Linked DNA regions of Alligator mississippiensis. The protein of the gene in region 4 interacts with the protein of the main gene of each other region in a pairwise test. Links are inferred from orthologs where the notes say so. Each region holds a gene or a part of one and is shown on either strand. Other genes may lie near its edges. The genes, in order: KLHL38, YWHAQ, HOXA1 and TRIM42.

Region 1 (7,445 bases), on a different chromosome or scaffold from region 4:
ATTTGGCCACCGAATCAGGCCGAATCTCTGCCGATTTGAATTGGGGACCAAAGCTTCACACAGCCCTAGTATCCAACTGGCAATCTGCAGGCCATCAACAAGGACCACAGTTTTAGAACCAATGGCTGGTGTAAAATGAGCTGATGATTTAAGTCCTTGGTCCCAGTGACTAGGAAATCAGTCATAATAACCACCATCATGAAGAGAGCCTTTGCTGATAATGTCAGTGGAGAGACCAATGACTGAGTCCTTGATTCAACCAGATACTTAGACACGGTCCTAACAAGAATGACTGACTTCAAATGGATGCACATATTAGGCATGTGGCTTAGCATCTATTTGTAAGACCACTATATGACATCTTTCTAAAGCAATAAAATCAGTCAAGGCTAAGCCCTCACTTGGCTTAATTTAGACTTTCTAAGAAACCAATGGGAGTTTGCCTGGGAAAGGATGAAATAAAACTTAAGGAAGGCTCTTAGGGACAATAATAAAGGTTTCTTTTGGAAATAAGAAAGGAATTTAAATACCATTTTCCTTCATATAGGACACCATGGAATGAGCATTTCCAACTTATCATGTGTTTCTTGCCATCTACTGCATGAGACAGAAGATAATTTGGTTCAACATTGGGCTTTGATTTCATCAGCAAGTTTTGGGTGAGACGCACTGAATATGTTCAAGAAAATGAGATGGGCAGGTCAAGGAGTTACCTGTATTAGACGGACTGGGTTTTGCATGATGTCTTCCCCTCCAAAGAGATAAATTCTTTGCTCTTTAGCAGCTACCGCAGGGTGAAGGACAGCGACAGGCATGTTTGCCATGTTCTCACAGGTGTTGTAAATGCTGTCATACCTCTCTACAGAATTCAGAATTTCTTGGTTCTCTCCAATTCCTCCAAATGAGAAGATATAATTTTTATAGGCTATGCTCCTGTGGGAGTAACGTGGAATTAGCATAGGTTCAACTAACCTCCACTGATTTAGTTTGAGGGAGAAAATATAAATGTTATCACTGATTGGGCTTCTATTGTCATTAATGGGTCTCCCTCCTAGCACATAAATATTGCTGTGCAGACTCACTGAGGAGGCTTTGTAAAGGCGCACAGGAAGTTTGGCAAGGCTAAGCCATTGACTGGTCTTTTCATCATATAGTAGGACATCTCTGGTTGTCTGCTGGTTGTCCTTCCTGCCACCAATGAGGATGAGGAATTCTTGGTATGAATACCTACGAGGAACATGCCACAGAGGTTTGATGTCAGGAGCACTAGTGCTATACAAAGAAAACATCTGTCTTCTGGCTGACTCTAGGATGTTCCTGCAAGTGGGTGAAGACTGAATGAGGGAGTCATTGGCAATGAAGTGGAAGAGGAAGGTTGGGTGGACGTACTGAAGCCGGACCTTTCTGAACAAGTCGTGGATGTAACCCTGTCGGGCCTGGAGATCATGCCGGATCCAGATCATCAATGTTTCAAAAACCTGTTCTTCCTCACCACAGAGCTCATCATCTCCAAGGTAGTCAATCAGTTCGAAGGCACAAAGCTCTTTCAGGTCCTCAGAAGAGGCTACGTCAGGAAAGTATTTCAATGCCATTGCCTTGGCTTTCGTATTGAGATTTTGGCAGTTCAAGATTTTGGAGAGCCTGATCATGCTCAGGCAGTTATCAGGAGTCAACTTGTCTTGGAGGTACAAAGAGCAGGCCTCGAACAATTTAACATACTGCAGCATGGAAGAAGCCTCAAATAGGTACAAAACATTGTCAGCTGTGATAAGAATCTCCCCGGTGTAAACATAGAGGATAATCTGATATAAAATATTGGAGTCAATGCCTTTCAGGTCAACTTTTGCCTGGTGACTCTCTTTAAAGTTGTTGCAGAACATCGCCTTGAAATACGGACTGCTTGAAGCAAGGACATTCCTGTGGCAAGGGATTTCAAAGCCATCAGTGCACAGTGTAACGTCAGTCAGCATCGCGTTCTGCCTTAAAGCATTGAGCTGCCTCAGCAATTCTGAGGAGAAATCGTGGTCTTTGAAGAGAAATTCCTCTGCAGAGCCCACCTCCATGGTCAAACAGGATAGATGTGAATGCTGGACTAGGCAGGGATAGTACAGTCTTAGCAGCTGCTATATAAATGTCTGCTCCGAAGTGACCAGGGATCAGGACTTTGGTTTCTCTAAATATCTTTCCTCTGTCTGCACATAAAATTGGGAACGCTAGTTAAGCACAGTGGGAAAGGACTAAAGAGCCTAAGAGGTCACTTAAAACCCTTTTTTTAAAGTTTATCAGATGGGTTAGAGCTCTGAAGTCAGCTTCTTCTATTAGCCTGATAAAAAGCAAAAGCATTAACGTTATCTTGCTGATTTGCAGTGAAAGCTAGAAGTCCGAAGCAAATGGTTTGTTCACTTCAATCAGATCTAATAAACTTGCTTAGCCACTTATTCACGATTTTGAAGTATTCACAGTTTAGTAGCTTATGTCTCTCTCCCTCAGCGTTAGTCATGCCCAAAGAATGTAAATCTGGCAGAGCTAAACTCTGCAGCAGGACAAACTAAACCCGAGAGACTGGGAATCTGCTTTAAAATAGCAATTTATTAACTCTGCTTAGCGGCTGCTTCTTTATATTAATCAGACACACAATGACTAAATAATGCACAAGGCAGAACAATAAGGCGGCTATCAATTTGCATGACTACCCAGCTGCTCAACCTGCAGGGAAATCGCGTGGTAGAAATGTTTACCTTAGATTGTCCTTCCCTGCATTCACTCACTCTATGGCGTTTAGTCTCTGCTGAGATTTTCCATAGCTAGTGCCTGAGTAAAAGCTACAAACTCACAAGACGTTCCTTTCGGTAGGTAAGTGATTCATGGAGGGTGATTTCTGGATTTGTTTATTCTCAAGGTACTTTTGCTGCTTGCGGGAGCTCTGTGAAAGAGCCAGTCGGCAGCACGGCATTGTCTGCATTCCAGGGCTAAGAATAGTTGCGTGTGGACTTCGCGATGTTATCACATGTGACTTTGCAGTTGCCTTTTGCAACAACCTGGACAGTACCGAGCATGCCCAATTGCTGTTTTTCTGACAAATGTTTACGTACAATAAATAGACACCAAGATGAAAGTTCACTTATAAATGTCCTGCCTGTCTCTTTGAAAACAGACACAAGGCCCTGTCCTAAAGTGCTTGGGAATTCTAGAAGGCTGTAAACAGCCTGAAATGTTTAGTGTTAAGTCATGCACTGTTAGGTATTTTCATTCGAAGGGAGGAGAAAACAGGGGCAACAAGGCTAGGGACAGACATTACACATAAACCAGTTTAAGTGACCAGAAACTGGGTTAAACCTGTAACGGAATAAATGTTCAGTGCACATAAACCAGGTGCAAAATGGCTGAAAGCAGTTTGAGATAAACCTGGTTGAATGTACTATCAGACATAACTGATTGAACTCAAACCAGGTCTGACTGCTCACGTAGGTTCCTAGCCGAAATACAGGCCCTCCAACTAACCCAGGAGGTGCACAGCCCCACCAGGAGAGACGCCTTGTTGGACCTGGTGCTGGCCACAGGTGATGACCTTGTGGGGGGGCTGCGGGTGCTGGACCACCTGGGCGACAGTGATCATTGCCTGCTGGAATTCACCATCCAGCGCAAGGTAGCAAAGGCCTGCAGCAAGGCAGCAGCCCTAGACTTCAGGAGTGCGGACTTCAATGAGGTAAGGAGAATAGTTGGGGAGGTACTGAGGTCCCAGAGGGGAGGGGAGGGGAGTCAGGTGTCCAAGAAGAGCAGTCGTTCCTTAAGGCGACGATCTCCAAGCCCAAAGGGAGGTAATCCCAACAAGGGTCAAAGGGGGCAAGAGGGTGAAAAAGCCCCTGTGGCTCACTAAAAGCATACGGGAACGTCTCCTGGTTAAAAGGGAGGCGTACACCCAATGGAAGGGAGGGGTCATCACCAAGGAGGACTACATCTCGGTAGCTTGGGGCTGCAGGGGGGCGGTCAGGAAGGCCAAGGCGGAGATGGGACTGGGACTAGCGACCCGGATGAAGGACAACAAGAAGTCCATTTTTAAATACATAGGGGGCAAAAAGAAGGTACCGGGTAACATGAGGCCTCTGCAAGACACGTTAGGAAATCTGGTTGTTGCACCAGATAACAAAGCTAACCTATTTAACAATTTCTTTGCCTCCATTTTCCTGAGCAGGGAACAGATCAGCCCGTCTGCCAGGACCCCCTCAGGCCCCAGGGGAGGTGCACCCCAGGCCTAGGGTCAGTGAGGGTCTAGTCAGGGAACTTCTGGAGGGGCTGGACATATTTAAATCATCTGGTCCTGACGATCTCCACCCCAGAGTGCTGAGGGAATCGGCAGTGGTCATTGCAGGACCCCTGGCACGGCTTTACGAGCACTCGTGGTGCTCCGGTGTGGTGCCAGAGGACTGGAAAAGGGCCAGTGTGGTTCCCATTTTCAAAAAAGGGAGGAGGGAGGACCCAGGAAACTATAGGCCAGTTAGGCTTACCTCGATCCTGGGTAAGCTTTTTGAGAGAATTATCCTGGCGCATGTCCACGAGGGGCCAGCAGGGGAGGTTATGCTTAGGGGCAACCAACATGGGTTCATTCGAGGCAGGTCCTGTCAGACCAACCTGGTGGCCTTCTATGACCAGGTCACAAAATCCTTAGATGCAGGAGTAGCAGTGGACATAGTCTTTCTGGACTTCAGGAAGGCCTTTGATACTGTCTCTCACCCCATTCTCATTAAAAAAACTAGGGGGCTGTGGCGTTGACACCTACACAGTCAGATGGGTCACTAACTGGCTGGAGGGCCGCACCCAGAGAGTGGTGGTGAACGGGTCATTTTTGACCTGGAGGGATGTGGGCAGTGGGGTCCCCCAGGGCTTGGTCCTTAGACCTGCGCTGTTCAACATCTTCATCAATGACTTGGACGAGGGGGTAAGAAGCACCCTGTTCAAATTTGCTGATGACACTAAGATGTGGGGGGATGTGGGCACGCTAGAAGGGAGGAATAGGCTGCAATCAGACCTAGACAGGTTACAGGGGTGGGCGTATGAGAACAGGATGGGTTTCAGCACTGAGAAGTGCAAGGTGCTGCACCTGGGGGGGAAGAACCAGCAGCATACTTACAGGCTGGGGAACTCCCTTCTCATCAGTGCAGAGGCAGAAAAGGATCTTGGAGTCATTATTGATGCCAAAATGAACATGGGCCGACACTGTGGGGATGAGGTCAGGAAGGCCAACCACACCTTGTCATGCATCCACAGATGCATCTCGAGCAGGTCCAACAAGGTGATCCTCCCCCTCTATGCAGCACTGGTCAGGGCACAGTTGGAGTACTGCGTCCAGTTCTGGGCGCCGCACTTCAGGAGGGATGTGGACAACATGGAGATGGTCCAGAGGAGGGCCACCCGCATGATCAGGGGGCAGCAGGGCAGGCCCTATGAGGAGAGGCTAAGGGACCTGAACTTGTTCAGCCTCCACAAGAGAAGGTTGAGGGGGGATCTAGTGGCTGTTTACAAACTAGTCAGGGGGGACCAGCAGGCATTGGGGGAGTCCCTGTTCCCCCAAGCACTACCAGGAGTGACTAGAAATAACGGTCACAAGCTGGCAGAGGATAGATTCAGGCTAGACATCAGGAGGCGCTACTTCACTGTCAGGGCAGCTAGGATCTGGAACCAACTTCCAAGCGAAGTGGTGCTGGCTCCTACCCTGGGGGGTCTTTAAGAGGAGGTTAGACGAACACCTTGCTGGGGTCGTTTGACCCCAGTACTTTTTCCTGCCATGGCAGGGGGTCGGACTTGATGATCTGCTCAGGTCCCTTCCGACCCTACCAACTATGAAACTATGCAATGTCTGTCCCAGACTCCATCCTGGTTAAACCAGAGTCCACCAGCATCCCAACATACTCTCTGGACTGGGCTCTCTGCTCCAGCCAAGCAGGGCTGGCCCCACCCCACCCCACCCTAGCCAGCATTGGCGATGCATAGGGGGTGCATGCTGGTATACGTGCACCCCCTGAGATTGGTGGTGCACCCCCTGCAAAAAGCACCGCTGATGCTCACCACCCTCCCCCTTCGCTGCTGACACTGCCAGCAGCATCTGCTGGCGGTTCCTGATCGCCACCGCCGATTGCTGGTCAGTGCTTGCCCCCCCCAACACGGCTGCCTGCGGGTGGTCCCCACTCACCACCACCATGCCACCTCCGCCGCTGCCTGTGGGTGGTCGCCATGCCCCCCCCAGCCTCTGGGGGCATTCGGCGTTCATGCCAGCTAGAGCAGAGACAGGCAGGGGCAGGCAGGGGTGGAAGTCTGGCCAGAGAGGGTTTAATTCCCCCCTCCCTGTCCCATTGGCAGGGACCCAAACTTTTTTTGAATGTCTGTCCCTAGCCCAGGACTTTGTGATGAGACCTTTCTATTTTAAGGAAAGGTGTGGGGAAGTCCTGGTATCCTACCTGTTAAGGTGTGGGACTGAGCATGGGAGATGTTGATTGGACTGAGTTCACCACATAAGGAAAAACTGTTAAGCGGGTTTAAGACAGCTCTTGGACATACCTCTCCTGCCTTAGAGCGGACTTTTCTACCTGGAGCTCATTCCAGCAGAACCCTGTGCCCAGACAGTTTCTTATCGCAGTGCTTCATGTTACTCAGCAGGCCATCAGAGATCAGATGTTGCAGCTGTATAGCACCTTTTGTGCAAAGGCTTCTGTTATCTTTAAAAACCTTAGTCAGTTAAGCTTCCTGGAGGAACGTGAAGGTTGCAGATAGGGAAACTGAAGTGAAGCAGCTTGTGGAAGATCACACAACAAGTGATCTTCCACAAGCTGATTTCCGTCAGACACGGAAATATAACCCAGGTGTCCCGATTTGCAGTGTTTTGCTGTTGCTGCTCAACAATTTCCCCTTTCTTTGGGATGGCATTGTATCCACCGTTGGTTCATAAGTACCAGTACAAGGTCAGACTAGCCTGTTCATTATTAAGAAAAACAAAAGTCTTTTACATGACCTGATGTTAAAGCCAAAAGCAGAACTGGTCAGAAGGTCCTTATATTTGCTGCAGTCCCGAAAAGGCAGAGCCAAGTCAAAATCACCACACTGTTATGGTAACCACAGTTTGGCATCACCATTTGCAATTCCTGATCTCCCAGAATTATTTTCATGCGGGCAAAACACGCTGCTCCAGGTATTATAAACCTCTGTTAAGCTATGTACTTCATGTTAATGACTGTCCCCCAGGTGGTATTCTCCTGCTGAGTATCCAACATAAAAACATGCTAAATTAACTGGAGGTTAGGCAGTGCCCCAAATTCACAGCCCTGTGTGGGGACAGTGCAGGGCCGTACCCACAATCACAAAGGGAGATGGAGCTCCCTGGACTTCAGAGACCGAGCTGGGAAACCTCTTCAAAGGGTACAGCACGCTGTATCTCTTCCCTGCAGCCAGCCACA
Region 2 (7,602 bases), on a different chromosome or scaffold from region 4:
AGTCTATGGATAACAGTTTACTTTTAAACAAATTAAAATTTTGGTGAGCAGAGGGCAGCTCTTGAGAGCACTTTTTGCTGCTGCTCTGTTTAATGTGTAAGCACTGGAAAATTTGTTCTTTACAATGACAGTTTCAATCTCTCTGTTGCTGACTCATGGAGCAGAGTAGTGGCAGACAAGAAGAAAGGGAAAGAGGAACAGAATGGGGGACTGCAGATGGTGCTGGGAGGGAAAGCAGCAGTTTCAGTTCATGCAGTAGAAAGCAGACACCCCCTCCCACTACAGGAAGATGCATATCTTTGATTGTGGAACAGGAAAAGCATGTCACTTCATAGGTTTCAGTCTTCCCTATTTCCTGCAGTCTTAGGGGCCCTGTGAGAGCAGGCAGCTGCCAGCCAAGCCTCAGCTGAGTGCAGCAAGAAACAAAAAAATAAAAATAAAAAATGCAGCAGTAGTGGGGTAAGCTCAGCCAGGGCAAGTAAGATTGTTCCCCTCTTCCCCCCCATATTAGGAGTTTCATTAGTGTGGCTACACCAATTGCTCATCACCAGTTGCCAAAACTGGAGTAATTTTAGCCTGCAAGGGCTAAAATGGCTCGCTGCTGCTCACTTCTAGAGCAACCCGAACTCCTAAGAGCAGCAGAGTGTCTTCTGTTAATATGACATAGCAACTAGAACACTGAAAATGGTTTAAATGCATGTAACCTCCCCTCTTGAGAATTCAGTTTGACAGAAGCAGGCATGAGGGACATTTTAAGAAGTCTGAAAAACTGGTTGTGTGCACAAGTCCTAAGAAACTGATGGCTAGCTAGACCAGTTCACAGAGAGGAAGATAAAAATCAAGAGGAACACTAGTAGTACAAATGTTGGCAACACAACACTATTCCGATTGGAATTCTGTCACATGAAACAAGAATCAGTCTAAACCCATGCTTCACATGAGTTGAGGTATTATTAAAAAAAAGGTAAAGATTTAACAAGTTTAACTATGCCTATAATTGCAGAAGATGAAACTATTAACTTGGCATCTGAAGAATGCTTTGTGGCATTAAAATTTTCTTCCTGAATTAAAATTGGTCTAAGAGGAAGCGCAGACTAAAGCACATGGATATTTTCAGGACAAATCTAGAAAGGGGCACCTTGTCAGCGAACTGGAACTCCTGACTTAATTTGATTTTCAATTATTATTGAGATGGTTAGCTTTAAATATAGGTCTCCTAGCACTATTTAGGCAGTGTTAATGATTTATTAAATAGTAATTTTCTTTTTTGTTTCTTTTTTTTTTTCTAAGAATTTGCTATTCACCTCTTCCTGTCCTAACATACCTACAGTACTAGCCGCTATTATTTTAGTGCTAATGAAGTGGTCAAGGTTATCTGCTACAAACTCTAAACTGCATTACACATCTAGTTTTGTGCAGCCAGAACTTACATTGATTGTATATGACAGGGCGGTGCGCCTTCCGCACTGCTGACACAAATTCAGCCCCTACCACAATGCAGCATATTAGCACCAGCAAAAAAGAAAAGTCTAGTGCACTGTTCAAGGAGCCAGACAGCTATTCCTGGCATCTGTACGCTCATCCACAGCCTCTCTCAGGCTCCAGACCTTTTCAACTTCCACATTATTCCACTATTACTGCATCCATGGAACAAAGCAATGCGAAGAGGATACCTGCACGTGACAACAGCCAGTTTTCTGCAGATTTGCATTGATGTCTTCAATTAAGAAGCTGTGTGCCACATACCACATATTTTACTTCACGACCCCCCCACAGAGCAGTCATGCTTCATTTAAGTCTTCTACTCTTCCATCTCTTTTCCGTAACTGCTAGTGCAGCACCCTGCAGCAGTTTGGGTACCACACCCAGCCTTCCGGGTGCTCACAGACCATCAACCCCATACCAAAAGGGGAAGGAGAATAGTTTCCCGGTCTTCCTTTACCCACCCAGAAGATTACCAATACAAAGGCACAGGCACACCTAAGCTCCAATCCCCCTGCCATCCCTGATCCAGTCGGTGCCTTGCATGTGGCTCTCATGAACCCCCCCCCCCACACACACACGTGTCAGAGTGCAATGCAGCTCATCTCCCCTCCTCACACCCCTGGGTCTGACAGGTTTACTGCATTGTTCAGGCAGGGCCCCCCAGTACATGACACCCACCTCTGGACCACTCCCCCCAACCCAACCCGTAGCAAGCGGCGCCCCAAACTCACCAGCACGGTGGTGCAGATGGACCGGAGCTCGGCCTCCACCTTCTCCCGATAGTCCTTGATGAGCTGCATCTTTTTGTCGCTGGTGTCCGTCTTCTGCTCGATGCTGGAAATGACCCTCCAGGCTGAGCGCCGCCCGCCCACCACGTTCTTGTAGGCCACGGACAGCAGGTTGCGTTCCTCGTTGGACAGCTCGGCACCCTGCTCGGTCACCGACTTCATGCAGGTGGCCATATCGTCGTAGCGCTCGGCCTGCTCGGCCAGCTTGGCTTTCTGGATCAAGTCGGTCTTGTCCATGGTGGCGGGCAGGTGGGTGGGCAGGGGCGAGGGAGCCTCAGCTACGACACCGTCCGCGGGACAACGCGCCTCAGCTCCTGCGGGGGGAGGCGCGGGTTAGGCGGGCGGGCGGGAAGTCGGGCCCCTCCCTCCTTTCCCCCCGCCCCTCCCTGCCCCGCCGCGTGTGTCCGCATGGCGGGGGCTCGGCCGCCCGGCCCCCCCACGAGGGAACATGAGGGGAAGACCCCGCGCCGGCGCGAAATGGCGGCGTGGAGGCAGCTCCCGCGCCCGCGGCCCCGGAGACTCCGCACGCGCGGCACAAAATGGAGGGCGCGGCGCGGGGGGGGGATGGGATGGGGGGGGCGCTCCCGCTCCCAACGGCCGGGTCGGGCCGGACTCACCTGGAGCGGCTGCGCGGGGCCGGGCCGGCTGGCGCCAGGAGCGGGCGGGCCGCGCTGCGCTGCGCTCGGGCGGTGGCGGAGAGAAAGAGCCGCTCCCGTCTCAGACTAGAGCCAGCGCTAAAGGGCGTTGGCACGGCCTCACCTCCCCGCTGCCAGCCCCGCGCCCGCGCGGCCAATGGGAGGGCCGGCTCCGGCTCGGGCCCCGCCCCCCCGCGGCTCAGCCGGCCAATCGGAGTGCAGCGCGCCGCGGCGGGGGCGGGCGCAGGCCGGGCGCAAGCTCGGTTGGCCCGTGGGCTGCGGCTGGGGCCACGGGGTTTCCTCCAATGAGATCCAGGGTGAGCTGACGTCACTGTCGCCATGGTGATGCTGCTACAACCCCCCGCCCTCCCCGGCAGCCGGCGCTGGTCGCGGCATAAGACTGGCGGGGGCGCGGCCGGGGGCGGCTCGTGCTGCGGCTGGGCGCTGCGCATGCGCGGGGGGTGCAGGGTGCAGCACAGGGAGGGACAGCTCCGGCGGGGCGGGTGCTGGGTGCACAGCGGGAGAGGACGGGCAGGAGCGGTCACGGAGTCATAATTTGGGTGGAAGAGACCAGCCGTTCTCTACATTTTTTGTACCAGGCCCCATTGGCAAACAGCGATGGGCAGTGCCGACCCGCGTCCCCCAGTGTGTGGGCCAGGGGGCCCCCAAGCAGCCCCTTGCAGCTGCAGCTCTGCCAGGGAAATGCCGCGGTTTCCCACGTTTTTGAAGGAGGATCCATTTTTTGATCCATTTTTTAATTTTTTTTTCCTGATCCTTTCACATATTCCTGGGACCAGGTTGACAAAGGCTGGTCTAGTGCAACCCCTGCTCAGCGCAGGGCCAGCCCCAACTGCCTCATCCCAGGCAAGCCTTTGTTTAGCTGGATTTTCAAAACCCCCAAGGATGGAGACTCCACCACCTCGCTGGTGAACCTGTTCCAGTGCTTCACCACCCTCCTCCCGAGAAATTTCATCCTAACATCTAACCTAAACTTCCCTTGCTGCAACTTGAGACCGTTGCTCCTTGTTCTGCAATCTACCACCACTGAGAGCAGTCCAGCTCTATCCCCTTTGGAAACTTTCCTTCAGGTAGTTGAAGGCTGCTATTAAATCCGCCCCCTATTTATAAACCATTAAATCTTCCGCAGACTAGATAATCCCAGTTCCCTCAGCCTCTCCTCAGAAGTCGTGCCCCAGCCCCTGAACCATTTTTCTTGCCTCCCACTGGACTCCAATTTGTCCACATCCTTTCTGTAGTGGGAGGCCCAAAACTGAACACAGTAGTCCAGATGTGGCCTCACCAGTGCTGAATAGAGGGGAATAATCATTTCCCTTGACCTAATGGCAGCACACCTACTAATGCAGCTGACTATGCCGTTAGCTTTCTTGGCAACAAGGGCACACGGCTGGCTCGTATTCAGCTCATTGTTCATTGTAACCCCCAGGTCCTTTCTGCAGAGCTGCTGCCCACCCAGTCAGCCTTCAGCCTGTACCAGTGCATGGGATTTTTCCATCCTAAATGCAGGACTTAGCACTTGTCCTTATTGGACTTTGTGAAATTTATTTTAGTCCAATACTCCAATTTGTCTAGGTCTCTCTGAAGCCTAGCCTGCCCACTGGCAGATTCCACATAGCAGTAAGGAACCTCACCCTCTTTAGATCCTGGCCCCACTCTGGGATGTGGCGGCTATGGGCAAGACTGAGTGGAGCTGTTTAGGTCTTTCAGGTGTTTTAAGAAGGATGAGACTTATGTGGATAGGTTTATCCTTCTCCCTTGACCAAGGGAAGAGACCCACACAGTAAATGGAGACAAGCAGACTGTTCTAAGTGCCAGGCTGTGTCACCAGTCATCCCATTTCAAGTAGTACAGGGATGATGCTATGAGTTAAAACACAACCTTGTGGGGAGGGTGAGATTGTCAGGATGGATGGAGTTTGGCCCTGTTCACTGAGTCTGGAGTGAGAGAGGTTTCCTGCAGGTCAAGATTACGAAAGGCTGGAAAAGGGATGGGAAAAATTCTTCCATTTCATTACCTAATGACAGGAACTGGAAGGGTTATTTTCCATCTGTGGACTAGGAGACAGGAATTACTAGGCCAGAAGAGCTTTTAACTTTCTCAGCTGAATTTCTTCAGGGGCCATTCTAGGATGGCCAAGAAGATAAAGCAACATTTACTGTGCACTTGGGATAAAGAGACTGGGTGACAGAGTGCCTGGTTGTACTGATTTAGGTTTCTTTGATCCCATTGGTAATGGGCTAGGGAAGACAGGGCAGAAAGAAGTCCTACATTTGGCTTGAGTAAGAATCAAAATCTTTATTCTATGGGTTTCACCTGGAATTAATATTCAAGAGGTTGCCAGGATCAGTAGATAAAGACTGGCATTTCAGGCTCATACACTTAAATCAAGAGTAATAAAGTATCATCCATCCAGAATTTAATTATGGCAGCTGATGCCCCCAGTCTTGCATATATGTTATAAAATACAACTTGGGTGTCCCTGATGGACCTGCTTTGGCATAGTTGGTTCTAGAGACAGTTATCTATGTTATCCTGAAGTCAAGTAGAAGGCAGGCTAAATTTGCACCTTAGGGTGTGTATAGAAGTGCTCCATATAGGTTTTAATTTAAAGCACTTTTTATAGGACTAAAAAGTTACAGCACCTTTAAATATGACAGAAGTGTAGTGTTGGGGAGGTGGGGCTCTGAGCTTCCTGGGGCTTCTCCATTAGTCAGAAAGTTGACCAGAGTACAGAAGTTATTTAAAGTGCTGTAGGTTGCTAAAGTGCTGTAAAATACTGTGCTTCAAATTTACTATCTCATTTAACAAGGGTTAATTTAAAGGGCTCTACCCATTTTTAAAGTGCTGTAAAGTCATGCACTGCTGTTAAGTCACAACAATAAAGCTCTTTAAATGGTAAAAAAGCAACTTCTGAACACATCCTTATAGACTATCCAAAGAGCTATATCTATATGGACATATTTTTCTTTGGTTAGTCTATAAGATGCAAATCCACTTTACCTTCTTATAGTTGATTCTAGACAGGCATTGGTATAGCATGATCCTAAGATGGAGAGGTAAGGAGACAATGTAGTTATGCTTTATCATCTTATTCAAAATAAAGGAAGGCTTCTAATCTACACCAAGGGTGGTGCAAATACATGCTTGCAGGCCCAGGGACTAATTACCCTAGTTAGTGCTTTGCAAAGTTGCTGCATAAACTGACGGAATTCTTCACTAGAGAGGTTTTGAAGTTCCCAAATGTTGTATTGTTCATCATGTGATATTCTTGATCTAGTATTTGGGCTAAGATTGAAGATTAGCTACTTGAAATTAGGCCCAAGTCTTAACATGGCCCATTTGGAGTAATTCAGTCTCCTTGTGTGTCTGAATTCCAAGACAGTTTTACCAACATGATGAGCACATACTCTCTCTATTTCTACCCATGGTGCACAGGAGGAATAGCCCTCACTGAATGTGTTGCCTTCACAAAAGGAAACTAACGAGTACTTAGCTTGTTTATCCTAGCAAAACAAAGGCCTAGCAGGGAAATGATTGTTCTGAACACATCAGGAAAGCAAACACCAGGGACAGAAAAGAACTACTTAAACTACAGGACAGCAGGGCACAAGGACAAACTGATATGAAGTGGTCATTAATCAATTTAGGCTGGAAATCAGGTTTCTGAACAGAACAGTGAAGTTTTGGAATAGCCTAATAGGAGTACTGGGGCAAAAAAATCCTAACTGTTTTTAAGATGGCACTTATGAAAGGGATTGTGTGATGTGGTTGCTTGTGGAAGCCAGGGACTGGATCTGATGACCCAGGAAATTTCTAGATGGAATTCAAGAATAGGAACAGGAATAAAAATTCAGTATTTCTTTTTAACCTTATGGCACAACATGCAGTTTTCTGCACTGTTTACTGTGCACCATCCAAAATCTTCACTGAAAACAGATTTGTAAATTTCCTTACAAGCTTTTCAAAGATGCTGCATCAGAGTATCTTGGTTCTCACAGACAGTACTAAATGTATCTTCACCATGCCCTTGTGAAGTATGATAAGAATTATTTTTAACCAAATAATGTTTCAGGCTAGAAGCCACCAGAAAAGTAAAAAGTGTCAACATGATTGGGTGCCAAATTTGAGGATTCCAGTGTTTTGTAGCACCATTTTTGTTCACTATCCAGCTTCTGCTGACTTCACTCACAGCTGTGAGGCTTAGCACTTCTGCAAATTGCATTCCAGATGTCTCCCATTGAAGCCACAGAAAATGTGCTATTACAGTTCTGGTTTATGCCACTTGCCTAGAATTCCATATGAACTCTATCAGAGGGCAGTATATAAATCACCTAAAAGAAAAGCTAGGGAGATTGTCTAGTCCCCAAGGGCAATGGTTTTCAGTCTGTGCTCTGCAGAACCCTAGGGTTTGTGACAGGTCATCAGAGGTTCTGCAAAGAGACTGGGGGTAATGGCAGAGTGAGCTGGTAGGGTCAGACGCCACCGCTGGGCCAGGTTACCTGCTTCCATGTCAGCTCGCTCAGGCTGCGGAGCTGGGGTAGGGGTTCCGTTGCAAAAGATGTGATATGAAAGGGTTCTGTGACTTCAAAAGTTTGAAAACACCACCCTAGGGCATTATTCAACTGCCTTATCTATGGCTAGAAACAGATGTCACCAAATGAAGCGGATCAGGTGTC
Region 3 (7,827 bases), on a different chromosome or scaffold from region 4:
TTAATATTGTCGTCATCGAGCGCGCACGCACGCACACACACACACACACACACACACACACACACACACACACACACACCCCCCAGGCTGGTGCGATGCCGCATACTGGGCGCTGTGGAAAGGACACACAAGAGTCCTGGCCTCAGCAAAATAATGAGTAGGAGAAAGGTCTTTTATTGAATAGCGTCTCGAAGGCCACGCCAGGAGAATAAGGAAGCTAACTAGGTAGGTGATCAATGACGTCACACATGCACTAAAACAACGTGTACCTGAAACTTGAATATATTTATTACAGACATTTTAGGACCCGTAAATTCTGCTCTGGATTCCATCACTCACAGAACCGCAGAACCTTTAATGATTGTAAATCAGAAAGATAGTTAGCTCACAAATGACAACTGATAGAACTCAGTGTACCTTCAGTACATCAAAGCATTGTGCATCATGCAAAGTTCCATACACGAATCACAGAAAATATACATTCATTTGGCCAGTCATCACATTTACGATTAGGCTGAAAAGACATCAACTCGAAGGAAGGATTACTTTGAAAATAGGAATAGGTGAGGTCTTTTGGGGGGGATAAAATACCGTTTTAGGTCCAATATAATCCAGCACAGATTTCTGGAGGGGGAGGAGAGGGGGAGCACACCAGTAAGGTTTACAAAACCTAGTGCAATTGAAGCCTTCTTCTGTCTCATAAAAAAAAATGGTGCTACAATTCGAGGTATCTGATTGCAAATTTAACTGATATCATCAGGTTTACCATTATAAAATTGGATCCAGTTTTGAGAATGTACCCACCCTGCTTAATCTAAACATCATTTCTAGAAAATCTGTAAAAAGATAAATCTCTTGGACAAAGTATTTACAACCAACAAACCCATACACACGAAAAAAGAGAACGCATTAAATTAATGGATGAAAGTTCTATAACTCGTGTAAACACTTTCAATAGTGCATCTCATCATGAGGTCATGTACTCTCGATAGCTTTGTGTTTCTGTAGGGGAAAAAATATAGAAACATCCTTGCAATTTGGCTCTCCGGAAACAGGGAGACCCTTATAAATGTGCTAAGGAGACAAAAAAAAAAAAACAAAAAAAACTCACAACTCCTGCTGGAATGTAAGGAATGAATGTAGGACTAGTTAATTAAGTGGTCATCAAAAACTGACATTAGAACCCATTGTGTTTAGCTCTGCATTAAATAAACAGCCGAGGGTATTTCTAAACCCAAATGCTCACGGAACAAGTTATTTGAACGTCAGGATGACCCGAATATTTAAAAATATATATTTACTTTAAATCAATGAGGGTACGCTAAAGATGTAGCTATAGGGTGGGGCCCAGGGATGTGTCAGTTTGAGGTAGTAAGGACGTCTGAGGTAGAGGAGGCTGGTGAAGGGGTGCACGGGGATGAACTTGACTTTTCTGATGACTCTTCTGCTTTCTCCTCGCATCCCGTGGGGGTAGCCGGGGAAATGGGTAGCAAGCCCTCCTTCTCCCTTTTCTTCTGCTTCATCCTACGGTTCTGAAACCAGATCTTCACCTGCGTCTCGTTAAGTTGCAGCGAAGCAGCGATCTCCACCCTCCTGGCCCTGGTCAGGTACTTGTTGAAGTGGAACTCCTTCTCCAGCTCCGTGAGCTGCTTCGTGGTGAAATTGGTCCTCACCGTGTTGGGCTGCCCCACGTAGCCGTACTCTCCCGCCTTCCCTGTGAAAAGCATAGGGCAAGTTTAAGCAAGTGCGATGATTTAGAGGTGACATAATCAATGTGTACACACGGGCAGAGCGATATGGAGCAGGAACTCCTCGGGATGCGGGGGAGCCCGGCAGTGAGTGATGGAGTGGGTCGTGCTAAGCTGGAGCCAGCCACTAGTGTCAAAGGAAGCCTGATGAGTGGGCTATGAATCGCAAGACATATTACCACGGGGGCGGAAATAAGAGCCTGGACTGTCATGATGGCAGAGGGGTGAACTTGTCCGCGCTGCCTTGCCGGAGATCTCCTTACCTGTAAAAAAAATAAAAATCCAGATAAACAGCAGGCCACGGGGAGCACAGGTGCGGGGGGGGGGGGGGGGGGGGGGGCGCTCTGCCTTGTGTCTGCTGCTCCAAAACAGAGAGAAAGAGGAGAGAATCCCCCCACCACCACCAAAAAACAAAACAAAACAAAACAAAACTTTGATTGCGACTGACCTGTTTTAGGTGGGTTTCTTTTCACTTTCATCCAGTCAAAGGTCTGCGCTGGAGGCGAGGTCTCTGCGGAGGGGGAGCGCGCGGTGTCCGGGTGGCTGGCGTGCAGAGGGGACAGGGGGTGGCTGTACCCGGCCAGGGGCAAGTTCTGCTGCTCGGCTCCGTAGGAGGGGTGCATGTACTGGGCGGGCCCCGCCGAGCCCGCGGCGTAGCTGTGCTGGGGGGGGTGCTGCTGGCCCACGGGAGGGGAGATGTTGCCCGAGTACAGCGCGGGCGCGCACTGGGGGTACCCGCCGCTGCCATCTGCGTCCTGGCCGAGGGAGTAGGGGCTGTACCCCGCGCTGAAGTTCTGGCTGCCATATCCCGGGCCGCAGCTAGGGTGCGAGTAGGACATGCCCAGGCTGCCGGGGTGCTGGTAGGCGCCCGCCTGGGGGTGGTGCGGATGCGGGTGTGGGTGCGGGTGGGGGGGGCTGATCTGGACCCCCCTGCCCACCAGGAACCGCTCGTCCCCTGGGCTGCAGCCATTGGCACTGACCGCGCAGGACTGGAAAGTTGTAATCCCGTGCTCGGGGTGGTGGTAGGCGCGGGCGGAGCAGGTCCCAGCCTCCCCGCTCAGGAGGGGATACTCGAGGAAGGAGCTCATCCTCGCCGTGTCCATCTGTCACGGAGTGACCGGGTCTTCCGCGCCCCGGGTGCCCGTGCCAACTTTCTCACCTCCTCCATGGGGCCAGGAGAAAAGCGAGATGGATGCACAGGGAGCTGGGGACACGTGAGGGCCGCAGCCAATGGCTGCGCCTCCTGCTAAACTTTCCCAGCTCCTGCTGGTGATGGATCACCGTTTCAGTGGCATTTAAATCCCGAGCGCTCCTCCATCAAGGTGACGCGCAGCCACCACCACCTCCCTCCCCCGCCCGCCCCCCCACTCTGTGCATTGGGGCTTCCGAGCCGGGGCCGGAGAGACAGTGCGCGCCCAGGCGCTCAGCCCGCAGCAGCCTCCGGAGGGGGGGCGCGGGGGGGGCTGCTCTTGCCTGGATTTACAGGGCTGGAGGACGCCGCCTGCCAGGTAAGCCGGGGCCGCTGCGGGCCCCCCGCTCCCCGGGCGCGGGGCGGTGCGTGGTTGCTATTGTTGGCGCTGTCAGTGCAGCCAGCACCCCCCCCCTCCCCTCCCCAATCCTGCGGCAGCCTCCGCGGGGCCCAGCTGGCTGGGGCAGGGGCTGCGCGCAGGGCAGGGCGGGGGGGGGGAGTGTTCCCGCGCTGCGCCGCCAAGAGTTAAAGGGGTTGCGCAGCCCGCGGACATTAGCATGGCAATGAGGCGCCTGGGTCATCGCACGCCATTGTGCTGCGGGAGGTGCCTGGCAGCCCGCGGGGCTCCCTGTGCCCGGGCAGCCGCCAGCTGCAGGGGGGCTGCCGACGTGGCCGGGCCGGGCCGGGCTGTGCCACGCTCAGCCCCGCAAGCGTGCACACGCACGCCCCAGCCCAGCTGCCGGGGCAGCTCCGCGGCGCAGACAGACGCAAGCCCCGGATGACACGGCGGGGCGGAGGGGAAGGGGAAGGGAAGGGAAGGGAAGGGGAGGGGAGGGGAGGGGGGAGCGGGGCCCCTGTCAGCCTGCGAGCCGCTTTGTCATGGGGCGGGAGCGCAGGGAGCCAGCAGATGGTCAGTGGCGGAGGCTCCCGGGGGACGCCCCCCCAAGATGGGCTCAAACTTTCCCTCTGTCCAGCTAGGGAAAGCCGGGTCCGTGTGCGGGGGTGGGGATGGGGACTGGTGTGTGAGTGCGCTACCACAGGCACATGCAGACAAGCAGGGCCCAGGTGCCGTAGATCCACGCGTGGGTGTGGATACCTCCCCTGCCTGTGCCTGGGCGTGCTCAAATGCACACGCGGGGAGAGGACCCCTCTCCCGGCCGCAGCCCCAGGGAGATGCGTAGAGAGAGATGTGCCCTGGGGGAGGCTGCAGCTGCCTCTTTGCCAAGTCCGCCCTGAGGGGGGGGGGGTTCGGGGGGAGGGGGCATGCAGGTGCACTTCAGCCCTGCCTTATTTTGCCTTGGCCCCCTGCCCGATTGTTGGTTTCACTCTCAAAGGCTCCTGCCCCCTGGCTCTCCCCCTCACCCACTACCCCCCACACCCCCGGGATCGGCTTTCCACAGCCGTCTGTGCCCCTGTGCGGCCACCTCCGCCCGCCGCCCTGCACCCCGCAGCCCCGCTGTTGCCACTGGGAAGCGGGTAGATGTCTCCCTTCCACCCGCTAGGCACAAAAGAGCCGCCCTCCCCCTTCCGGGCTGCTCTCCCGCACCGCCATGAACAGGCCAGGGCCGCTTGGAGCCATTGAGTTGCTCAACACTCTTGGCTTGGGGGCGGGGGGGCGAAGCAGGGGATTCCCTGAGATGCACGAGGCGGCCTGCACTCCGCCTCTGTGGCTCCAGAAAAGGCTGGAGGGGCACTTCCTCTGCCTGCCCCAGCTGGGTGGAGATCAGGGCAGAGGCAAGCCACAGGGACCGCTTACTGGAGAGCTGGCTCCCCCCTACCACCCCAGGCATTACCCCGCTTTTCATCACTTGCTACCCCCAAGTCCCTCTCTCAGCTGGACACCCCCGCCGCAGCCCGGCTGCCTTGCCCTCGCTTTCCTCGCCATGGTGGGGAAGAAATCCGCCCTTTTGTTACATTGTGTCTGCTCCAGCGCGGCACAATGAGGTGGGGGAGGCAGAGTAGGGGCAAATGGAGACAAGCCTTCAGAGCAGGGCTCTATGCCAGCTCTGTTCCCCCTTACGCCGCCCCCAGCCTCACCCTAGATCTCAGAAGGTTTCGAGGGGGGCATCTCCAAGCCACTGCTGCCCTCCCGGTGCCCTAGGCGCCACTCTGACGCTCTCCCCATTTCACCTCCCCACCCCCCGTCTTTTGCCCCCAGCGCCCAGGCAGCTTTCAGGGCTTCCCCGGGAGACAATCGCTCCGCGGAGATGTATTGATTTGCAAAGCGATCGGGGAAGAGAGTTCAGGGCGGCCGATCTCTCACTAGGACGTGGCCACCTCCAGGCCCGGGGTGCCTGCAGGGCATCGGTCCAGTGGGAGCTGAACGAGTCCAGCTAAACAGGAGTTAAAATCCTCCCCCCAGGCGAGGGAGCGAGCCCCTTTTGGGCCGAGAGAGCCGGAGCAGGGAGAGGGAGCAGGAGCAGGCCGGAGAGGTGTGCCGCACCCGCAGCCCAGCCAAGCTGTTGTTTTAAAAGAGCAATAAAAATGAATTATGACTAAACGCCTTCTAACTTAATGGTTTTAGACGGGGATCCCCAGCCCCGGCACATACGTAAGAGGGTTTTTATTTGTGCATGTGTTCCTGCAATTGATCTCTTTGATGACATTCTCATTCAGAGAGAGAGTTTGATTTATGAGGCTAGGAAGGATCGCGGCCAGCCCTTCTAGGCATTACCCACGCGACCCAGCTCCACAACGTGTTGCAGAGCGGGGAAACCACCCTCCTCGCAGGCAGAGGACATAAAGTGCCCCGCGCAACTGGACGCCTCGCCGGCCAGCTCTCCCCGCGCACAGACACAACACACGGGGATCCGCGCCATCGCCTGGCTCTGGGAACCGCAACTCTCCCTGCCACCATCTGTTGCTTGATTTTTGGCCCTAGCACTCTCGGCTGTGTTAAAAATATCGACGGGTCTTCCAATGCAATCCTCTGTGGGGGTTTTATACCGCGCCACGAATGGGGCAGCGGGCTGCTGAGTGGGCTCCATTGAAATTTAAACGAATGAAGCAAGAGTTTGGCAACCGCAAAGAGGTTTATGGAGAAAAAGCCTCCTTCCCTGCCTCCGCAGAGCCCCGGGAGGAATCGCGTTAGCACAGTCTACAGCCTTCCGAAATGCAGTCCTATCCCCCCCACCCCCAAATAATAACACTTGTATTTTTTTTTATTTCCTTTTTTTTTTTTTTTTGTAGGTTTGTTTTCTCGGACGCGTTCAGCACATGGGAGCTAAGCAATCGCGCACTGTGCTTGTATTTTTAAAGAAGTTTTCCTTAAAACGAATTGTTGGACGCACGGAGGTTTAGCTTAGCAATTTCTAACCCAGCCTTTTACTACAGCAAGAGGCCAGTGTCTCTAGCAAAGCATTCCTGCCATTTCCTATGGATTACATTTGGTCTGTAACGGAGAGAGCTGCACGTTTGTTTGTTTGGGGTTTTTTGGTTTTTGTTTTGTTACAGTCTAGAAAACCCGAAATTTGTATTCACACGCAGATAATAGAAGCTCTTCGAGATATGCCCAGGTTAAAAGGAGGAAATTGTGTAAGCTTTGAGCGCAGGCTTTATAATAATAATAATTATTGCTTGTAAGAATCCTTTCAATAAAGAATTGGAATGTGCTTTTTCTCTCTAATAAATATGTCACTTTACCAAAAGGAGAGAGGTTGTGAGCGGATTGTTTAATTTTATTTCCGAAGTTAGATTAGGAGGGGGAGGAGGAAAAAAGCAGCAGCAGCAGACCCGTTAGACTACCAGTGGTGAGGAAGAAAGAGGGTGGAAGAAAAAGAGAAAGCTACTTGTAGCAAACAAGAATTTATTCTACCAAAAATACTTATGACAACGCATCCTAATGCAATACAAAAATAAAAAGAAAGTGACGATACAATTCTATATGATCACTTTCTTACAGGCCTCAGATATTGCTTTCATAGAAGGACCTAGGATGTGGCTAGGTTAAACTGAACACAACTAAAACTCCAAAAGAAACGGTAAAATGGCTCTCAAACACAGCAAAGGGAATTAAGAAACAGAAAATACTGACCAGGAAAAAGGAAAATAAAATTAAGTCATTTCAAAAAGGAAGGCAGAACCCTTGGCGAGAGGAGGTCTTGACTTTTCTCAGTAATTCAGGTGCTGCAAGTCAATTGTGGTGAGTGTGTCTGTAAAAAAGTCAAAACTGTCAGCAGAGATATCTACAGGACTGTCCAGAGATCCTGGCAAACTGGGGGAAACTGCATCTGAAAGCTGTAGGCAGGAATCTGTGGAGAAAACGTTAAAGTCCTGTAAAGAAGGGACATCCAGGGCCTCAGGACTGTCATTGTTCAGGCCAGCTGCACAGTTCTGGGCCATTGTTGATAGGCAGTTCTGAACAGTGGGTGACTGATGCTGAAAATGTTTCAGATTTTTCTCATTGCTTGTTAAAGGCGAAACTGGGAAACTTTGGGACTCTCCATTGTGTACATTCTGAGCCTGCTGTTGAGATAGTGCATTTTGCTGAAAAGTGTAGCCTTCCCTTTCCAAAAGAGCCCCTGAGACATTATTGAGGGCTTGTTCAAAGAGGGATTTCTCCTCTTCCTCTTCTGCTTTTTCGGTGTCCTCTAAACTCTTAAATTTCCCCTCACTGTTTTGGTTCTCCTTACACTGGGTCTGTCTCTTGTGCTTCATCCTCCTGTTCTGGAACCAGACTTTGACTTGTCTCTCAGTCAAATCCAGCAAGGCTGCAATCTCGACCCTCCTCGGTCTGCAGAGATACTTGTTGAAATGAAATTCTTTTTCCAGCTCCAAGAGCTGGGTGTTGGTGTAAGCCGTCCTCAGCCTCCTGGAGCCACCGTTCCCACTATCGGGGATTTCAAGGGAGTCTGCAAAAAGCAAGCACACAGGCAAACAAACAACGCCAGA
Region 4 (7,546 bases):
GATCTTCTTGATAGGCTTTGGTAAAAATGTGCTCTTGAGCAGAATCATCTCTATGATATAAACTGAGACATTCTTTACAAAAATTCATTTGACATGTCAGACATCTTTTGGATGCCTTTCTTTTCTTCTCTTTGCAAGCTTGACAATAAATTGATGTCTGAGTTCTGTCAAATCTCCACCTGATAAGGCCATGTTTCTGCATATATCTCTTAGCCAGTTTGGCTCTCAGTAAATTCTTCTTCAGCTGAATTTTATTAGAATAGGGAAGGCAATGTGCTTTGTTACACACTGGGCATATGAGAATGAAAAAGTTCTCAGACACTTCAGCCTTGGCCCTCCTTTTACCTATGCAATCCCCACAAACACAATGTTTACAGGGAAGCATAAATGGGTGGAGGTACAGTTGTTTACACGCTGGACAGGTGAGTTGATCACGAAAACTATGCCCTGAGACATCCTTGTCCAGTGTAATGACAGATGTATCACTTGTAGTTCCAGGGCCTGGTAAAGACAGCCTTGAACTGAAAAAGAAAGAAACAAGATCTTCTCAGCTTCCAAATGTTCATTAAGAAACAGGCTGTAATATATATATATAGCTTTGCATTATTTACTGAAGATATCTTACACTTTAAATATGGGTATGATCCTCTATTCCCCCAGTGAATACTTATGAATAAGCTTTTTGACTGTCTCTACTTAGCCAATACGTATGAAACTATCCATTTCAGTTCCAGCATTTATATTGCAAGCATTACACAAACTAACACAAACAAACATCTGCATTTTGTTTTCTTATTCCTTATTTATAACCTGTGTATTTCGTTACATTTTTATAAAGATATGATACAAATAGATAGACAGGAAACAGAATATGCAATAAGCAGATAGTTCATTGGGAATGAGCAGAATAATGGATTTCTGGGAGGTTTGGATAGCAAGCAGGAGGAAAAAACCTAAAGAATATTTTTTCCCTCATTTTGGGATTTCCCAGCATTTTGGGATTATTTTTGCTTTAAAATGGGAAAACCTGAAATGTTTTGATTTAAATTGAAATGTTTTGCATGATTTTTTTTCTTTCAACCTGAAATGAATTGGTTTGTATCATTTTCAGGATATCCTAGTTGTTTTTTTTTAAATACTCCATTTTATTATTACTATTGTTGTCAGTTTTTAAATGAAGAATGTTTTGCTGAAAGTAAAAGTCAGAATGTTTCATTCTGAAAGTATTAAATTGAGAGTTATTTCTTAAAATACATGCTTTAATTAAAAAATATCAAAACTTTTTTTTAACATTTTCAACTTTTTTTATTAATTATAGGTTTGGTCTGTCTGGAATTGCATTTGTCAGTAAACTTACTATACAGTGGAGAAGAAAAGAAAACCCCTTGCCTATCTTCCATCTCCTGATTTTCATGCACAGCTTTCTTTTTATTTAGGAGGGTGGTAAGAATTGGCCTTCCAATGTGACCCTGGGTACTGGTTCTAGATTTTTAGGGTTAAGACTATCAAAAGTTGCTTGTAAGTTTTCTTGCACTTGAGATACACAGCTTGGAATGCCACAAAGTTACCCAGTTTTCAGAAATGTTGACCATTTATAGTTTGAAAGTCAAGGCTATTTTAATATGTCTCCAGTCAGGTACACAAAAATCACTATTCATTTTCAAAACTGTGACCAACTGTCTCCATAAGCTATTCTTAAAACTGCGTAAAAAACATCATGCACAACTAACAGACACAATCCCCAAACTGCCTCACTTGCCACAGGTAAAGCTCGGGGACAAAGGGCACTGTCAGTATCCTGCCACAACAAGCACAGGAAGTAATTGTTAAACACAAGACGGATCCAAGGAAGAGGGCCTATGGTCCCTGCTATAGAAAGAGGTATGGAGGGAGGTAACCCCCATCCACTCCACATACATGCAGTGCCCATGCTGAGCTGTATGGTAAAATTCCTTTCTGATCTCAAATGTGGTGATTAGTCTGACCCTGGGTTGAGGAGTAAGACATTCTCACTATGAACCTCCAGGATTTTTAGTCCCAGAAAAAAGCACTGACACAGTCATGTATCCCTCCATGTTTGAGCAATCCTCCTCCATCCTCAGCCTGCCTTAGTCAGTAGTTATGTCTCCATTTTAATATATGCTCTTCAGATGAATCTCTAAAATTAGTAATACTTTTTTTGTAATATTATTTCTTCTTCCAATTCTCTTCAGAGCACTTTTTAAAAAATATATTTGGTTTTCTTCCTCTTTCTCTTCCCCCTAACTATAATCCTTTCCCTCATTTACAATTGATTAGCACTTTACTCTCTTTAGTAGTCTACTTTGTTGTTTTCTTGGAATACTCCACACTTTTTCCTTTCCTCTTTCTTGGTTTGGCTCAGTCTGGCATTATCACTATTTCCAGCCATGTCTAACACCTTGAGAAAAAGGTGCCCAAAATTTTGCCCCTAAATTCCACAGAGCTAATAGACCATAATATAAATTTAAAAAGAAGGAATTTCAAAAACAGGCTTTGGTTTCACTTACTGATTTCTCCTTGGGATTCTTGGATGGTATGGTGAATGGGCAACATTTCTGCAGCATGTGCTTTCATAACACTGACAAACGGTATTCTCATCGGTGGCACAGCAGCAACACTTACAGTCTTCATCAGTTGAGAAAGAGCAGCAGCACCAAATACAATTTGGGTTCTCTGAACATGTGCAATGGCAACACTGGCAAGATCGATCTTCATGGTAAGCGCAGGGAAAACAGTTGCAATTCCGCTCTTCAGTAAATAAAAAACGCCAACATAAGCAGCATTCTTCTTCTTTTGTTAAGATCGGCGGACAGCAATGGCAGCCTGGACAACATGGCCAAAATAAGCAACATAAGCATAAAGTCCTGGCCATCACCCTGTAAGACACTTAGAAGACCACTTGCCAAGCCTTTCAGCGTGTCCTCACTTTATGTTACACAGCAGCACTCCCCTCTTCAAAGCTTTGTGCTTTGGAGGAGAGGTGGATTTTTTTTCTCTGGTTAGAGACTAATAGTGACATCACAAAGAGATTCCAAATAAGGGCATGAACATGGCCATATTTGCACATGTACATTACTCACTTGATTATCTTTTTATATCACAGTTGCTAAGCATTGCCTTTCAGGTTTCTTCCACTGGCACTAAACACTAGTATATCTAAGCTGGCAAATTCACGTATTGCCCCAACAGCCAATGCAAGTTATGTAGAATTCTGGAACATGTTGAAAATTTGGAAGCAGCGTGAAATAAAATGAATTTGATATAAAAATAAGTAACAATTAATATTTCACTGGTTGTTCAAGTTCATATTTAATATGTGCAAAATATTACATATTCAAATCACATGCCCCAGAATTTCTTGTGTGCCAAAGAATCCCTGGGGTTTTGATGAAAATTTTAATTCCACCTTACCACAGAGAGAACATAGAGACTTTTCGCTTGCTTCCTTCGTGGTGGGAGAAAGACATTTTATGGAGTCTTCTCTTTCTCAGGGCAGGTGACCTGTTGATACACCCTAAGAAACAAAGCAGTGTTGGTTTCTACTTTTCTACCTCACCTACTTCCAGATTCTCCCTGTCCTTTTCAGTCAGTGATTAAATAGCTTCAAAAGGAATACATGATAAAAGAAATGCTATCTGCTTTTGCAGAGGAGACACTTTCAGCATTTATCCATTTGTATGATCCCCATTTATTTCAAGAGCTCATTCAATGCCTTATTTTGAAATTTGTTTTCTATTGGCCTAGATCCAAGAATAATACCACAACTTACTTTCCGCCGTGTCACATGTATGTGGCAGGAGGTGCATCAGATCCCATTTTGCTATGTTGCCAGTGGAGGAGGAGCCTGAACCAGAGCTCCCCTTGCCTCAGCAAGTAGCAAGCATGGCTTCAACACATCATGTACATGGTGCACTTCCAGGCTGGGAGCCCCAATCAGCTGAGGTGCCTCCCAGTGTCTGGAGCATACAAGAGTCTTGACAGGCTCCCATGTGCACTAGAGGCTGGCCAGTGGCCACACATGCAATTAAAGGCATAAAAAGAACCACCCATAAAATTATTACACATATTTTATGTAATCATTTTGTGGCTTGTTCCTGATTTTATCATGCTATTAATTTATTGAACGTGTGGCTAGGTCACTACTTAAGACATGATTAACCAGTTAATCATGTCTTGCATGTAAAATCTCTCCAGGGCCTCAGTAATAGTATGTATCTACATTTTCCTTGGCCAGCTTCTTTTTCTCCTTGTATTCACTTCTCCTTTAAGTATTCTATTGGCCAAAGCAGGATGTCTTATAATGTGGTCAAACCAAAATTTTATATTTTCCAACATCAGCTGTAATATCAGTTCTCAGCTATGAGCTGAATACCTGAATCAGCTCAACTATGAGCTGACACTATAAGCTGAGTATCTTTAAGAGCCATCTACAGCACTTTGTTTCAAATGCTTGCATGCACGTTTCTATAGCTACATTTCAGGTGCAACTTTAGACACCAAAGCTTAAAATATAGATTCTCCAAAATACTGCTCAGCTGCTTTCTAACTTTTGAGTTGCCTACAATGTGAAAGTACCTATATTTCTGGTACTGAAGCTTCCTAGAAGCCTAAAAGTCTTCTTCTGGGCATGCCCAAGAACACCTCAGGCTTGACAATAACAAGTGGCTCAGTCAGCACCTATCTTAGGCATAAATCAGCATTCATGAACTACAAGTTCCTTTGCTTCTCTCACTAGTAGTCATTCTCAGAGTACACCTTTTGTATCAGACTTCTCCAAACTAGCCATGGAGTCACTGATATGGCCCCTCTATGAAAATTACTGTGCTAGAAGAGCAGGAAAGAAAGTGAGTATGATACCTCTGCCTACTAGTTAGGATACTCAGCAGGGAAAATTATGTTCTATTGAATATTTAGCATAAAATAGGTAAGTCAGGGGCTCACAGGACAAAGGAAAACCTTGGGTTCAAGTTTTTACCTTACTGAATATTTCACTATATTATGCTAAATATTTAGTAGAGCAGGGGCTAGAACCCTGCTCTCTCCTTCTCTCTGAGAATGATCTATGTGACTGTAGTCATTTTCCATCTCTTTTCCTAGTGCATGATATAATGGAAAGTGGAATAATTTCAACAGGACTGTACCAGAGCACCTCACTCCCAGCCATCCCAAAGTGCCAAAGAGGTTGTTAATTAGATTATTATTTTGGGAGGATTAAATCCTCTCAGGTAGACTGTCCATTGATGCTGATATTTGTTGAGGGATTTGACCAGGATAGATTAACCTGTACTGATGCAGCTATATTCCTTCTGGTTCCCATGGTAGACTAGCTGCCACTATACAGCATTGCACTGCAGCGTGATGAAGGAGATCAGTGCTTATGATCCCCATACCTCAGAAGTGGGATCCACATTTTCCAAAGAGATAAGCCATGTACCTTTTTGAAAGAGGCAGGTTTGTGAGGCGGGGAGAACAGGAAAATATTTTAAACTGATTATATGTGAAGCTGTGTGATAGTCACATATCTTCCTAGTCAGTAATTACTGCAAAAGCATCCCTGTAGAGCCAAGCACTGCCAAGCTTTCATAAGACAATGGGTTTCTCTTGAACAATGTCTTGCACTCTCTCCTCTAAGGACTGACCAAAGGAATTATCTGAAAGTGATATAACAGGGTTGCACTGGCGCCAACCCTCTCTCATGGTAGTCTCCAACAGTTTAGGCATAGAGTTTTTTTAACTTCACTGAGATTACATCAATGCAATGTGATACAGCATTTTTCACAGATTCTGTGCTCATTGGTTTGTATTAGCCCACTTCAGACATTTATAAATCTTTATCTTCTCAAATTTAAACTATACTGTTTACTTACCTTAGGGAGTGGAAAGGAAAACATAAGGGAAAAAGTTAACTTAAAACATTAAAATTGTATTGGTGCCTCACTTGAAAGCCTCTAAGCATCACACACTAACAGACTGATACACTGATTACTACAAAACTATTGACACCAGTTACCACGCAGTTGCATTTAGGGTTGAGTACTTTATTCCTCAACTCAAAACTGAAAATAAGAGTGACCACTGTATGGTAGCTGTTGGTGAGTGTTGGCTTTTAATGGTGATCACTGTACTTACTGTAGGTAATTAAGAGTTTCTTTAAAATGCAAAATATTCATTAGCTTGGGTTAATCGGTTAATGCCTAATTTGGGAATTATTAAGGCACGCATCTTGGCATACTTTATTGTAACAGCTCCTTTGTAGCCATTAGAGCCTATATGCACAAAACCTACTCTAGTTAGAGAATTTTTAATTCCCTGATCCATAGCCCAATAGACCATAATGGCTCAGTCATTATAGGCGGCCATTTACATGATGGACCATAATAGAGCCTTTGGAATGGTTATGGGCTATTGTGTCAATGAAGTAGAAGTACTACGTCTGTGTATGAAAAATCTTTCTAGAATATTTGAGCAAAATAATTTATTGCAAATACTCAGACCTTTAGTAGCTGTGGGTTTTTACATTTTATTTCCCCAGGTTCCTTTGATGGCTAAGCTTTCTTTTCTCTTCTTTGTGCATATTTAATTTAGAAAATTAAAACACTTTTGAATTCCATGAGCATGAAAGCATATCTTGTAATACTAATGCTTGCTGCTTTTTTCAGTCTTATAATTCAGATATTCCTAAATAGATATTTTAAAAAAGAAGGGAAAAAAAAGCAGCTACTCATCTTACGTGTCAAGTTTCAGATCAAAGCAAAATCTTGATATGACAAGATTTGATTGCTGCAACCAACTCCTGGATATTTATTTCCCCGCTTTCTAGCCATCTTTCATGCCTGTCATTCTGACCAAGATTCCCCATTCTTTGATTCTCTGTAATACATTCTCCTTCTCTGCTGCATTATTTCTCTTGTCTTTGTCTTCGGATATATTTTTCACTGTTTATCTTCATCATCTTTTATTGTTCTACATTGTGATATGCCAGTGATGATACCTTTTCTGTTACCCTGTTTATATGCTGCTTCTCCAATCTTCTTTCATTTTCTTGTTTCTTATACTCTGTGTATAGACTACACTGCCTTAAGACCTTTGCTTTGATATGCAGCAGGTTTAGAGACTGACCCATTCTTTTTTATCCACGTTTGTTCACCATTAGCAGATACTAAAACATCTAATCGCTCCTTTTGCCAGAGCAAAAATTACAGTTTTTCAGCAACATGGTTTGGCCAAGAGGCCACTTAATGATGAAAGTGCACAGCAGTTAAACTATGATTTTGTTGGTTTCCCCAATTCATGGGCTTTACCCTGCAAAGTTCCCATAGCTCCCATTGGCTTCACAGAGGCACATTCATGCTAGAGCCCTCACGTGCTTTTTGTACTCCTTTGATGTACTCCTTTGTACTCCAGAGATGGGCAGATGAGAATAGGATGGAATTCAATGCAGACAAGTGCAGGGTACTTCATCTAAAGAGAAGGAACCAGCAGCATACCTATAGGCTGGGAAACATCCTTCTCATCAGCACAGAGG

What was found.
Region 1: the proteins of TRIM42 (region 4) and KLHL38 interact in binary tests that used the Homo sapiens proteins (3 or more experiments, as listed by UniProt). The two-hybrid records come from large-scale screens. The link is inferred for Alligator mississippiensis from reciprocal best matches to the Homo sapiens genes TRIM42 and KLHL38.
Region 2: the proteins of TRIM42 (region 4) and YWHAQ interact in binary tests that used the Homo sapiens proteins (3 or more experiments, as listed by UniProt). The two-hybrid records come from large-scale screens. The link is inferred for Alligator mississippiensis from reciprocal best matches to the Homo sapiens genes TRIM42 and YWHAQ.
Region 3: the proteins of TRIM42 (region 4) and HOXA1 interact in binary tests that used the Homo sapiens proteins (3 or more experiments, as listed by UniProt). The two-hybrid records come from large-scale screens. The link is inferred for Alligator mississippiensis from reciprocal best matches to the Homo sapiens genes TRIM42 and HOXA1.

What each region holds. Positions count from the first base shown.
Region 1 is NC_081826.1:20,462,940-20,470,384, reverse strand, and holds the start of KLHL38 (kelch-like protein 38), read right to left. Parts: upstream 3,011-7,445; 5' UTR 2,064-3,010; coding exon 714-2,063; intron 1-713.
Region 2 is NC_081824.1:31,109,729-31,117,330, reverse strand, and holds the start of YWHAQ (14-3-3 protein theta), read right to left. Parts: upstream 3,004-7,602; 5' UTR 2,891-3,003; intron 2,588-2,890; 5' UTR 2,511-2,587; coding exon 2,217-2,510; intron 1-2,216. UniProt on the Homo sapiens protein: Adapter protein implicated in the regulation of a large spectrum of both general and specialized signaling pathways. Binds to a large number of partners, usually by recognition of a phosphoserine or phosphothreonine motif.
Region 3 is NC_081828.1:156,072,964-156,080,790, reverse strand, and holds HOXA1 (homeobox protein Hox-A1), read right to left. Parts: upstream 3,015-7,827; 5' UTR 2,852-3,014; coding exon 2,197-2,851; intron 2,012-2,196; coding exon 1,928-2,011; intron 1,715-1,927; coding exon 1,359-1,714; 3' UTR 267-1,358; downstream 1-266. Other genes in the region: HOXA2 (homeobox protein Hox-A2), read right to left, coding at 7,048-7,787. UniProt on the Homo sapiens protein: Sequence-specific transcription factor. Regulates multiple developmental processes including brainstem, inner and outer ear, abducens nerve and cardiovascular development and morphogenesis as well as cognition and behavior.
Region 4 is NC_081830.1:46,934,879-46,942,424, reverse strand, and holds the start of TRIM42 (tripartite motif-containing protein 42), read right to left. Parts: upstream 3,006-7,546; 5' UTR 2,894-3,005; coding exon 2,529-2,893; intron 522-2,528; coding exon 1-521.